Linked DNA regions of Mus musculus: all the other regions are reported to be linked to region 2. The links are microRNA targets in miRTarBase. Many come from high-throughput screens and were not tested one by one. Region 2 holds a microRNA gene; each other region holds the end of a gene's coding sequence. Distances are from middle to middle.
The links. Region 2 holds the annotated microRNA mmu-miR-466e-3p (UAUACAUACACGCACACAUAAGA, at 1,705-1,727, opposite strand). A microRNA usually pairs through its seed, bases 2 to 8, with sites in the 3' UTR of a target mRNA and lowers its output. Matches are read on the target gene's strand: a 7mer-m8 pairs with bases 2 to 8, a 7mer-A1 pairs with bases 2 to 7 and ends in A, and an 8mer does both.

Region 1 (3,185 bases), not on the chromosome of region 2:
GAAGTAAGGATGTCTTGGAATGATCCATTAGCACTAATAAAGTCTCCACCTCCTTCATATTATTTAAATTTCAAATTAGGCTAATAGCATAGACTTGACTGTTGGTTCTCTACTGTGCTTGTAGTATAGTGTAGTTTTATTTACAAATAACAATTAACTGTTTCTAGGTCTTCAATTTCCTAAACTTGTTGTATCTCAACAGCCATGCTTTGCCATTTGCAGTCTTTTTTGATTGACCAAAATCATTGTCTGGCTTACTTTTGATTTCCTCTTTTAAGTAATCAGTGTAACCAAAAGCAGTCCTTAAAATACCCTCACCAGTATTTTCTCCCCAACTCAGGGCACATACGTGCTTCAACCGATTGGATCTCCCACCATACCCTTCATATTCCATGTTGTATGAAAAGCTGTTAACAGCAGTAGAAGAAACCAGCACCTTTGGACTTGAGTGAAGACGTGGAGCCTTGCCTGGCATTGTCCTGAACAGTGACACCACCCTCTCTGGGATGACTTACTCCCTCCTTTGACTTTGGTATTCCATGATTTTTATTTCAAAGCAAATTAGAATTGGCAAAAGCTGTGCATGAAGAATTGCCTTCTTCTAAGATCTAATCTTCAGGCTTATCTCCTCTGTTTCCAATGAACTGCTAGCCTGTATGCAATACTACAAAACAGCTGTCTCAAGGTCTGTGTATACTTCCACATACCTCCATTCCTAACAATGAAATATGAGTGCAAGTTATGCTACACTTGACGAAATGGTAATAAATGTTTACTTCCATTTCTATCATTTAAAGATAATTTGAGCTGTAAGCATTCCATGCTTTTAAATGCCCATGTCTTCCAAACAGAACCTCCATTTTTCCTAATTTCTAGCAACTATTTCCAGACCTGGGAGCTGACTAATTTTTTCCTTTCTATCTCTACATTTCCTATTCATTCTATCCAAATGGACAGCCAAGGCCACACAGAAACGTTTTCTTCATTCAACTCATGATTCATAGTGGTATCAGCCCCATCAGCCAGAACTAACCTAGACATATGGTGCAAATATGAAACTTCCAGCAATTAACAACAGCAAGAAGGAAAAGGTTATCAGTAAATCCAAGGGTTATATGGACTATGAAATCAACTTGAGTTCAGAAAAGTGAGGTGGGGGATCTGCCCTGGTGAACCCTCACCACCCAAGAAGCACAAACTTGTGTACCATGTTCAAGGAGCAAATCCTAATTGCTGTAGATTGAAGGATGAGCCTTTACCTCTAATTTTGTCACCATAAAAAGTGATAAGGCAAACAGGAAAAAGGACAGGACATATGACATTTATTCCAATCGATGAATTTTGTTTAATCTATTCTCACGCACACATAGTCCAAATAAATCTCATGGCTTTTGTTGCAGCCAAGTTTATTTACGTGATAGGCCAAACTTTTGCTTCTTTTTAGCTTTGATACTTTTCTCATTCTTTTTTTTTTCCTTTCCTTTCCTTTTTTTAAATCATGGTGTTCAAATTCTGTCACATCTGATGTTCACAGACACCACATACAAAGCTGCAGAGCACGATGGTGCTTGTTAAGGATCACGGGCAATATAAACTTTTCCTTCATCCTTAGTGATTCTTCAAAGGCACGCTGACTTGTGTCCACAAAAAAAAAATCCATTTTTTTAAAGCATTCAGCAAAATATTTAAGAAAATGTGTTTTTAGAAAAACAATCACAGGCTCCACAGACAGCCTGGCATCTTAAGTACATTTGAGATAAATTTAACCATAATGGTCATTTGCTATTTTTTGTAACCATGTTATCCATGTTGTCTGAAATACGACATAAATGAAAGTGGTTTTTCTTCACTGGGAAAAAAAAAAGCTAAAGAGACCCAACTATTTAAATATTCATTGTTGTAGTCAACATATTAAAATAAAAGAACAAGTCTGAGAATGTAAAGCTAACTTAGGATGAAGCCATGCCTCGTGGCTCAGTACAGCAGTGTGTTTTGTTCCTGCACATTAAAATATTTTCTTAGTAAAAATTATTCACAATGCCAAGACACTCTGTGTTCCTGTGTTTCTTTGTTAAGCAAGAAGTATATATGATACAAACTTAGTTTTCTATTGCTATCAAAAATAAGTTTTACTAAAAAATGGGATGTACATTGTATGAAACACAGCTTGAGGGGTAAGATTTGGCCCATATTTCAGAATCTGAAAAATAAGTCCAATGGCGCTGTTATTTACTAATGAACTCGGAACAAAAGCACTGCTAAAGTCATTTTCACTAAATCTTTAACTCCTAGAATAGCATATTTAGAATTCATCTTATACATACATAAAAACCTCACAAAAAAATTCAACCATTCAAGTTTTTTACCACTGACTTGCCATACATTGAAAAGGAGAATGTTGTTCAAATGTAGGAAGCTGCTCCTGAAGAGCTTTACAATTTGCAGAAATGAGACAATCTATTAAATAGATTAATATATAGTCTACCAACATACAGAAGGAAGAAATTTTCTTAGAAATGACATGTGAATAAGAAACTCAGATAAATGCATTTTTAAATTAATTTTTAGTTATACCTCTACCCTTATGCAAGGTTCTACACAAATCCCAAGAGCAATAGCATTTCTAACATACTCGTTTTAATTATTTGAAGTTATTGCGATGTATTTCAATCATATTCACCTAACACTCTTCTCCCTAACTCCTTGTTCATTCACTCCCCAATATTCCATTCCTTCTCAGTGTCATGTCATTTTTTAATGACCCATTGAGTCCAATTTGTGCTGTTTGTCCATATCTTAAATTAGTATGAGGTCATCCCCTGGAAGATATAAATGTATCATTTTGTGTGTGTGTGTGTGTGTGTACATACACATATACATATTTGATTGTCATAGCCGGCCGCAGTGGTGCACCTTTATGGCATTAAAATGCCTTTAATCCCAGCACTTGGAAGGCAGAGGCAGGCAGCGCTCTGTGAGTTCAATGCCAATCTGGTCAACAGAGCAAATTCCAGATCATCCAGAGTTACCTAGTAAGACTCTAAAAAAAAAAAAAAAAAAGACAAAAGGAAAGAAAGAAAACTGACTCTTAGCAGCTATCGGCTGTCAATAGCTCCTCAGATAGGGCTGGGGACTTGTGAACCCCTCTTTATATACTAATAGTATTCTAGAAAAATTAAAAATGT
Region 2 (3,185 bases):
TCCTGAGACTCCTAACTCTGGCAAGTGGTTTTCATTTGATAAGTGAGATTTTTCCCTATACCATGAATATACACTCAATGAAACTCAAAGCACGCATAAATCAAATGGATGACTGCCATGTGTGTTTGTGTGCACATGTATGTGTCCCTAGTTGTGTGTGTGTGTGTGTATACATATATACATATATATACATATATATATATGCATGTTCATATACGCGCATGTACAGGCATACTTCCCTATACACATAAACACAAACACAGGGAAAATCACATGAATTCCGGGCTGATCTCTAACTCATCATAAAGTTAAACATGAATTTGAACTACTCATCCTCATGATGCTGGCAAGAGTATTCACCTCCTAACTGAGTCATAGCTCGGGCCATTCGTGGGAATATGTTTGCATGTGAGTATATGCATATTCATATACAGAAGTGAATATATACACAACTATACACACATGCACATTCTTGGTGGGCATCACATGAATCGCATACTGAACTCTAACTCATCATGAAGTTAAACATAAATTTGAATTCCTCATCCTCCTGACACTGGCAAGAGTACTCACCTCCTAACTGAGACATAGCTCTGGCCATTCCTATGAATGTGTGTGCATGTGTGTATATGCATATTCATATAGAGAAGTGAATATGCACACAACTATACACACATGCAAATTTTTGATGGGCATAAGATGAATCCCATGCTGGTCATGAACTCATCATGAAATTCAGCACAAATTTGAACTCCTGATCCACCTGACTCTGTCAAGGGATTTCACCTGCTGAGTGAGACCTCTCCCCATTCAGTACTGAGGAATCTTAAAACTCTAAGTCACACGTCATTCAAATGGATCGATGAGTTGCACTGATGTTTGTGTGTGTGTTTCTGTTTGTGTCTGTGTACATGTATATATTTGTGTAGATAGGTACATCCATATACTCAAATCCACACACAATAGAAACAGATACAGATAGGGATACATAGGGGCATCACATGAATCCCAGGCATATCTTAAAGTCATCATGAAGTAAAGCATGAATTTGAACTCCTGATCCACAATCTTTCACACCTGGTGAGTAAAACCATTCACTGTCCCAAACTGCATAATCTAAAACTTTAAGTCACATATCATTCAAACGTATAAATGAATGCAATTTTTTTCTCTGTGTCTGTACTTGCATATACACGTGTGTTTATATTTTGTATATCATGTCAACAGAGGCAATGCATATACAAGTAAACACACATGCACATACATGGGTGGCCTCACATGAATACCAGGATGATCTCTAACTGAATTAAGCATGAATTTGCAATCCTTATCCTCCTGACTTTGTCAATCTTTTACACCTGGTGGGTGAGACCATTCAATGTCCCCTATTGCATAATCGCTAAAACTCTACATCACTTATCATTCAAAGGGATTGGCGAATGCCATTCCTGTGTCTGTGTATGTGTGCTTGCGTTTATACGTGTGTGTGTATGTTATGTATATTCAAATATAGACATGAACATGCACACACAACTATACACACATGCACATACATGGAGGAATCACAGGCTGATCTCTCATGAGGATAAGTATGAATTTGAACTCCTGATACCCTTAACTCTAGCAAGCATTTTCACTCTAAGTCACTTATCACTCAAATGGATTGATGAGTGCCATTCCCATGTGTCTGTGTGCTCATATGTGTCTTATGTGTGCGTGTATGTATATGTATATCATATTCACATATGTACATGTACACACACATCAACACATACACACATACATAGGGGCAATCACATGAATGCCAGGATGACCTCTAACACATCATGCCTTTACCATGAACTTGCACTCCTGATCTTCCCGACTCTACCAAGGGTTTCCCGTGGTTTGTGAGACCTCACCCTGGCCCAGTCATACATAACCTCCAAAGCAGTAGGTCACATATCATTCAAATGGATCCGTGAGTGCCATTCCCGCATGTCTGTGTGCATGTGTGTGTAGGTGTGTGTATGTATATGCATAAAATATACACGCATATACATGCAGGCACTTACGCACACAGGCACATACATAGGGGCCATCACATTATTCCAGGATGATCTCTAACTGCTCATGAAGTTAAGCATAAAATTGAACTCCTGATCTTCCTGACACTGCCAATTGTTTACACCTGGTGAGAGAGAATATTCACTGTCCCTCTACTTTATAATCAGCAAAATTCTAAGACATATATCATTCAAATGGATCAATGAGTGTCATTCTTATGTGTGTGAGTGTGCATGCCTGTATGTGTGAATACATTTGTATGTGTGTGTATTTACAGGGATGATCATATATACACATGTACGTGCACACACAATTATATGCAAATGTACATAACTAGGGTCGATCCCACAAATCCAGGGTGATCTCTAACTCATCATGAAGTTAAGCATGAATTTGACCTCCTGAGACTCCTAACTCTGGCAAACAGTTTTCATTTGATAAGTGAGATTTTTCCCTATACCATGAATATAAACTCAATGAAACTCTAAGCACGTATAAATCAAATGGATGACTGCCATGTGTGTTTGTGTGCACATGTATGTGTCCCTAGTTGTGTGTGTGTGTATATATATATATATGTATGTATATATATATATATATATATATATATATGCATGTTCATATACGTGCATGTACAGGCATACTTCCCTATACACATAAACACAAACACAGGGAAAATCTCATGAATTCCGGGCTGATCTCTAACTCATCAAAAAGTTAAACATGAATTTGAACTGCTCATCCTCATGATGCTGGCAAGAGTATTCACCTCCTAACTGAGTCATAGCTCGGGCCATTCGTGGGAGTATGTTTGCATGTGAGTATATGCATATTCATATACAAAAGTGAATATGTACACAACTATACACACATGCACATTCTTGGTGGACATCACATGAATCGCATGCTGAACTCTAACTCATCATGAAGTTAAACATGATTTTGAACTCCTCATCCTCCTGACACTGGCAAGAGTGCTCACCTCCTAACTGAGACATAGCTCTGGCCATTCCTATGAATGTGTGTGCATGTGTGTATATGCATATTCATATAGAGAAGTGAATATGCACACAACTATACACACATGCACATTTTTGGTGGGCATAAGATGAATCCCATGCTGGTCATGAACTCATCAT
Region 3 (3,185 bases), 56 Mb from region 2:
AGGAACTAACTATCCAGTATTCATTACTACCTACTGCCCACAATCTGCCCCTCTCTAGAGGATGTTGTATGTGTATTCTGTGTTTGTGTGTGTCTAATAAAGATAAGGCAAGTAGGGTTTGATTTGCTATTGTTGCTAAAATAGATGGCCTGTAACGATTCTGATTCATGAGGGATGTCTACTTAGGGATGTGAAAACTTAGCATGTCTGTTTTCATGCTTAGAAAGGTAATTATCCTTAGCAGAGTGAAACTTTTTATCTCACTTGAATAGAGAAAGGAAGAAAGCTCTGTTTCTGAAAAGCAAGGACTACAAAAGAAAAACCAAATGAGATACAAAAATGCTCCAAACTTTGTGAAAATAAAGCTGGACTGAAAGAAACATCTCTGAGGATCCAGGAAGTGGACTGTCATTCACCAAATCAACTCTACCTTAGTCAGGATTACCCGGGGCCGCCCCACACTCTGTTCCAAGAATAGCCTGCGAGTGTCTCACCAGGAGATACTTCCAGAGGTTGGAATGGCCCAGCAAATATGGAACACAGAATTCTTTCATTAGCTTGAACGAAGGAACAATAGCTTTTTGTCATTTCTTCTCTGAGCCCCTGCCCTTTAGATTGTGTGGGCAGGAGGCAGCCTAACTGGAAACCAAATGCTACTGATGGCAACGCTGCAGAGAACTCTGGACATATTACCACAGAATTCCCACCAGATTAGCCCCACCGGTCAACCAAAAGGAGTAGTCAGCCCCCATTACTGCTTTCAATAGCATGACAAACCCAAAGTCCTTTTAATGGTAGTAAAAATTAGCGTTGATTTATTTAGTCTTGAGGTGGTTTAGAGAAGAAACAACTCCACAAGCGAACGTACTTTCCCCACATGGAGTTTAAGTAGCGGCTTCCCACCAGAGGACTCTGAAGCACATTCAAGCCTCGTCAGATCAAATAGTATTCTGTAAGGAACTGAAATCCGAAAGTTATTCAAATGCCCACATCAAGGAGGCATAAAAAACTTAGAAGACGCCGTTACTACGAAGTAGGGGTGTGTCTGCGTTTTTAAATAGCCATAAAGTATGAGAAATGATGCCACAATACAATGTCAAAACTGGAAAACAGATTCAGCAGAATAACTGCATGGGGGAAACCGTAACACTCGTTCTATAGCTGCTTAAGCTGATGGGAAAGAAGTTGCTCCAAGTCCTCTGAGGTGAGGCTCGAAGCAGGCGGGCGGGGAGTGTCTCCTTTCTATTCGTTCTCTTTACTAAGGAAGAGAAGGTGAGGTGGCTGCCTTCGCAATGCATTCTGGGATGTGCTGCTGACTACCCCAGGCAAGACAGACTTTTTTTTTAAAAAAAGCTCCAGAAAACGAAGCCTAATGAGTCAGTGAGCCCAGGCCTGCCTTGAATCAGCTAGCCATTAAGTGGCATTACACATTTTTGCATTTGTAGAGGGTGATGGGGTGCTGAGGCTCTGCCCCCACCCCCAGCCTTCTCGCTGTAAGGATTGAGTTAGGTCCTAGAGCGGTGAAGGAAAACAAGAAACAAGTCATTTTCCTTCATGTCATTGGAAGAATCCTCTCTCTCTATTGTATGAACCTTAGTTACTTTTTTTTAATAATTAAAAAAAAAATATTTCAAAGCCTTCTGAGACCCCATCCCACACGAGGTACCGTGAAGGGGCACTAAAGTGCATTCTGAAGGAGGGAGTTGAGTTTAAAGGTGCTGTCCAAGCTAAGAAACAAGATGACACTGTTTAACAAAGGAAAGGCAATTCCGTCTATCTCAGCTGAGGGAGAGCGGAGGACTAGACCCTCGCCAGAGGATTGTCCTAACTCTTAACGTGAGAGAAAACTGCATAAGGACCTGCACGTATAGACTCATTTGTCCCAAATAGCAAAAATAGGCCTATTTCATCCTTAAGAAAGTATTTGCAAATCTGCTGAGTCATGATCGTAAAAATGTGGGTGGATTCCAGATGCAATCGTCTGGGCATGCTCTGTGGTGCTAGCTAACACGTCTTCAGCTTCAATGAACATGCTGTTCATTTTCTTCAAAGCATGACTTCTAAACTACCATAAATAAAATACACAAGAAACGATTCAATCTTTTTTTTTCTTACAATAATTACTTTTACATTAAAAAGTCACCATCATCTTCAGATATATCGAAAAATTAGGACTCTAAATCTGCTTGTTTTCTAGTCTTAGTTAACAATCTTGCACAGGCCCGATAATCTAAAACTTGGAGCTATGATCTGCATAGCTTGGCAGGTTTCACACAGTTTGACAGGTAGGCAACTGTAAGATATGCATTTTTTTTAAATTTAGCATTTTTCTATCAAAACAGTTCAAAATCGTTTAAAATCCCCATAGCGACTGTATTTGTGCCACGCCACAGTTGGGAAGCTAGAAAGGAAGGAAGGAAATACTGTCTGGAAGATTAATCACAGTCCACATAACTCTTGGCCTTCAGGTTTAAACAACGATGAGCCCAGCAAAGGCAATACAGTGCCTTAAATAGAAGACTTGGTCCTGTAATAGAATAATTTAAGCAACTAAACGGGGACCGTTTCCACCACGGGGGACTGAATGCACTCTTCATGCAATCTGCTCTTTTCTGCAAGGCTCAAAGGATTTTCTGCAGGATGCTCTGAAATGTGGCTGTCGCCATTCAATGTGGAAACAAACCCTTCCTGGGCAGGGCCTTTCAAGTATGAGTGAAACTCCACTTGGGGAAGATTGGACCTGTGTTCAGGATACAAGGGGTTACAGGGCACCCCACTATCGTTTTCAGAGGTGGGGCAGCAAACGATGACAGACGGATTGGCAGCTGGGTAGTGGGAGGCTCCATAGGCCTCTTCTGCTTGCCTGGCGTAGTCAACAAACCTCTCTGGGGTCATGGCGTAAGGCACCAGCGAAAGGGCACCGTTTTTGACAGTATCTCTTTCAGAATAGTTGTCAGAGAGCTGGCTAGGAGTTCCTGGGATGTGACTATCTATTTGGTAGTAGAGAGTTGAAGAGCTAGCGTAAAATGAAGCATTTTTTGTGTGGCTTTCATGAACTGCGGTGCCATCAGAGTAACAAAGGACAGACGGAAGGGGGACGACCTCCGTATGGGCTCCGAGCCCTTCTACAAAGCCATCTCCCTTGTCGTCGTCGTCATCTTCCTCCTCCTCTTCCTCTTCTTCTT
Region 4 (3,155 bases), not on the chromosome of region 2:
ATAGGTGGCCTGTGAGAAAACCGTGTCTGCCATGCAGCACGTCCTACAGAGGACCATCCGGTGTGCAAAAGGTACCTGTCTGTGCTCTGTCTTCCACGGGAGTAGTCCCTGATTGGAGGTGGACAAGAGGGAGGGGGAGCTCTCCCTTCCAGCCTCTGCCTCCTGCTATGTTAGAAGTGAGGCAGCAGGGGGCAGTGTGGCACCCCCTCCTGAAGCAGGAATTCAGAACTATGGGAGAGGGAAGGGTGTCTTAGGTTCCATCCTGCCTGCTCTGATCTTCCCTGTGCTCTGCAGCTGAAGCAGGAGAAGGACAGAAGCCCAGCCCCGCTCAGCTGGAGCTGAGGATGGTCCAGAGCAAAAGGGACATCGAGGACCCCGAGATCGTCGTGCAGGCCACAGTGCTGTGAGGACCACACCCACTCGCCCCGACACACAGCCAGCTGAGGTGTCCGTCTCCATCCCTGTGAAAAGCTGTAACGTCTGCCTTAGAGCCATGACTGAAACTCGACATCCGTGTTCCTTCCCGAGAGTCGGGTCTCAGCCAGTCTCTAGCGTGAAAAATGTGCCATTGTGCTATTTTTTTAAAAAATGACAAAGCCGTCGTAGAAATGTGTGATTCACAACCATGGTCCCTTCCCCAAAGGCCCTGGGCCTCTGACTGCCTCATGTTGCCTCATAGGTATGTGGAAGGTAGGTGGAGGAGACCAGCCTGCTGCCTCTGGACCTTTCTGTTGGTCACTGGCTGCCATTGCCCCCTGTGTATGTATACACAGTCCTGATTGTGTATAGACTCTGCCTGTGTCGGCGCTGTCTTTAAAATGGGGTTAGGTCTTAACCGTTGGCATTGGAAGAATTATGCCAAATATCTTCTTTGCCATTCTGGTCTTTCCCTTGTTCCTGCATTAGAGTTTCTGTGTCTCTGCTGCTCTTTGGGTGGTGTCCCAGAATGTCAGACGAATGCAGCTGCTGGTCTGCGAGGGAAGGTTTCATATCCCCGTGCTTGCACAAGCATGCGGTCACTGTGACAGGGACCTTTTAAGGAACGGGAACATTCCAGGACATCTGCAAGCCGTCTGGGTGTCTGCAGGGTCTCCTGTAACTCTGGAGCTGAGTGCAGGGCAGCTTGGGAATTCAGGGAAGTTTGCCTCACTGGGCTTTTTTTTTTTTTTGGTTTTGGTTTTGGTTTTGATTTTTCAAGACAAGGTTTCTCTGTGTAGCCCTGGCTGTCCTGGAACTCACTTTGTAGACCAGGCTGACCACAAACTCAGAAATCCGCCTGCCTCTGCCTCCCGAGTGCTGGTATTAAAGGCGTGGACCACCATGCCCGGCTCTCACTGGGCTCTTGTGGGCACTCACACAGCCCCTGCAGGACTGTCAGGTGGCAGTTCACCTGCCACATGCTGCTGGGGACAGTGCATTGCTGCACAGGGGGTTGGACAGACAGGGAAGGAGAGACAGAGGTGGCTCCTGCCCCCTGGTGGCAGACTGAAGTGCGGGTTTTCTCCACTCCCCTCACCCTCATTTCTGGATTCTGTGCCCACCTCATGCTGAGGGGCCAGGGGCCCTGATGTGAAGCCAGGGCCTCTGCCTCCTTGGAAGGTCTTCTCCTCTACAGAGCACATTGGCATTGTGTATGCAGGGGCAGCTCTTAGACCCCAGCTGGGGACTGTGACGTGTCCCATTGTCTACTGCTCGGGGGTGAACTTCCTGGCTCTGCTTTCCAGAGTTTAGGGTCCCTAATCATGGCTGCGAGCCGCACCCATATCCCTGCTCCTCAGTCCTTAAGATATCTATCTTCTGAGAAGCCACAGCCTAAGGAGACCAGGGAGACTGGGAGAGGTGAAGAGTGCATTATGCCTACCTCTTCCCCAGAAGCATAGGGTCTCCATGGAGCTCTGAGAGCGACACCCTTTCCCCATTATGATGCCCCAGATGGAGGAGATAGATGCTGGTCCACATGGACCTGAACCAGCCCGTATTCTGAGGTGTCCGTTAATAAGCCTTTTACAGCTTTGAAGGAAGCAGAGAACTGGGCTCTCTCTCTCTCTCTCTCTCTCTCTCTCTCTCTCTCTCTCTCTCTCTCTCTCTCTCTCTCTCTCTGTCACACACACACAATGTAATTTTAAAAAGTACTTTGGTCATCAGTACCCCAGGACAAGATTAGCAAGCTCTCTGTTAAGGCCATGAAGCCTGACATGTGTCCAAACCTGGTGCCAATGTGGCACCTCTGAGCCCCAAGAAAAAAGAAAGCAAAGACAGCAGGCCCCTAGTATCCAAATCAGAATTGGCTTTTACTTTTACTTTATTTTAGTAAGGAAGTAATGTGCTTGGGAAGGAAGCTGCATTAGCCCAGGGTTAGCCGCTTCCTATTGGGGACATTGATTCTGTCTCAAAGTATCTCCTTCCACCTCCTGAATACTAGGAAGGAATCACCACACCACATATGACCAGTGCTCCCTTTTATTGCTGCTATCTGGGGTGCCTCTCTTCCAGACATCCACGCAGCTACCTGCACTGAGAGGTCCTGGAAAGCCATGTCTGTCCATGTGACAGATGGATGCTGACCACAAAAGCCACCAGTGGATGCTAAGAATGGGTGTCCCTCCAAGGGGCAGTTCTGGGAGGTCAGGTTCAATGTGAGGTTACAATAGAGCTGCAGTCTCTGTAGGGAAAGCGGTGAGTCAGGGAAGGCTTGAACCTGGTTCCCAGGTCTGAGTGAATGTCACTCCCCAACCCCCTGAATGATAGAGACGCACCCTGGGATGGAGGTGCGGCTGGACATGCATGTGCCAGTCCTGATGCTTTCCCACACTTTCTGTGACAGCTGTAGATGGTGCCAGTCCTGCAGAACCAGAGAAGAGAGGTTTCTACCTCCACTTGCAGTTTCAGTATCCACCAGCAGGGGTCGGGGTGGAGCCGGAGCAGTGTCAGAGGCCCAGGTGGATGCTGGTACCAGCAGATTAAACAGCAGCCATCCTGCTGGGAGATTTGGTGGTTGTTTTTTACTGTGTACATCTTTCTGTTGGGCCTCAGACTTGGCGTTGTGCAACACCTGACAGTAAGTGGGAGTCAGTGTGTCCCCAGGTCAGCCTGACATCCCAGGAAGCCATTGTGTCGTCAGCATGGCCAGAACTGACAGTTTGTGTTTCCTTGCT

Region 1: the mRNA of Hecw1 is a reported target of mmu-miR-466e-3p. The part of its 3' UTR that is shown has no 7-base or 8-base seed match.
Region 3: miRTarBase lists Csrnp3 as a target of mmu-miR-466e-3p. The part of its 3' UTR that is shown has no 7-base or 8-base seed match.
Region 4: miRTarBase lists Pdxk as a target of mmu-miR-466e-3p. Seed matches in the 3' UTR shown: 8mer at 761-768.

Annotation. Positions count from the first base shown.
Region 1 is chr13:14,227,916-14,231,100 of GRCm38, reverse strand. It overlaps Hecw1 (HECT, C2 and WW domain containing E3 ubiquitin protein ligase 1), which reads left to right. Exons shown (of 29, transcript NM_001081348.3): 29 at 341-3,185. The coding sequence ends at 452. Among named protein-coding and RNA genes, the nearest start is that of Gm26129, 140 kb to the right of the region's middle.
Region 2 is chr2:10,477,680-10,480,864 of GRCm38, reverse strand. It overlaps Mir466e (microRNA 466e), which reads right to left and starts at 1,777; the gene lies at 1,694-1,777. The region is part of intron 10 of Sfmbt2 (Scm-like with four mbt domains 2); the gene reads right to left. Mir669j (microRNA 669j) reads right to left here and starts at 2,955; the gene lies at 2,835-2,955. It overlaps Mir467a-2 (microRNA 467a-2), which reads right to left and starts at 2,067; the gene lies at 1,985-2,067. It also overlaps Mir669a-4.
Region 3 is chr2:66,022,389-66,025,573 of GRCm38, reverse strand. It overlaps Csrnp3 (cysteine-serine-rich nuclear protein 3), which reads right to left. Exons shown (of 7, transcript NM_153409.5): 7 at 1-3,185. The coding sequence ends at 2,551. Among named protein-coding and RNA genes, the nearest start is that of Gm52514, 95 kb to the right of the region's middle.
Region 4 is chr10:78,438,053-78,441,207 of GRCm38, reverse strand. It overlaps Pdxk (pyridoxal (pyridoxine, vitamin B6) kinase), which reads left to right. Exons shown (of 11, transcript NM_172134.2): 10 at 5-71; 11 at 295-3,155. The coding sequence ends at 407. Among named protein-coding and RNA genes, the nearest start is that of Mir6410, 4.8 kb to the right of the region's middle.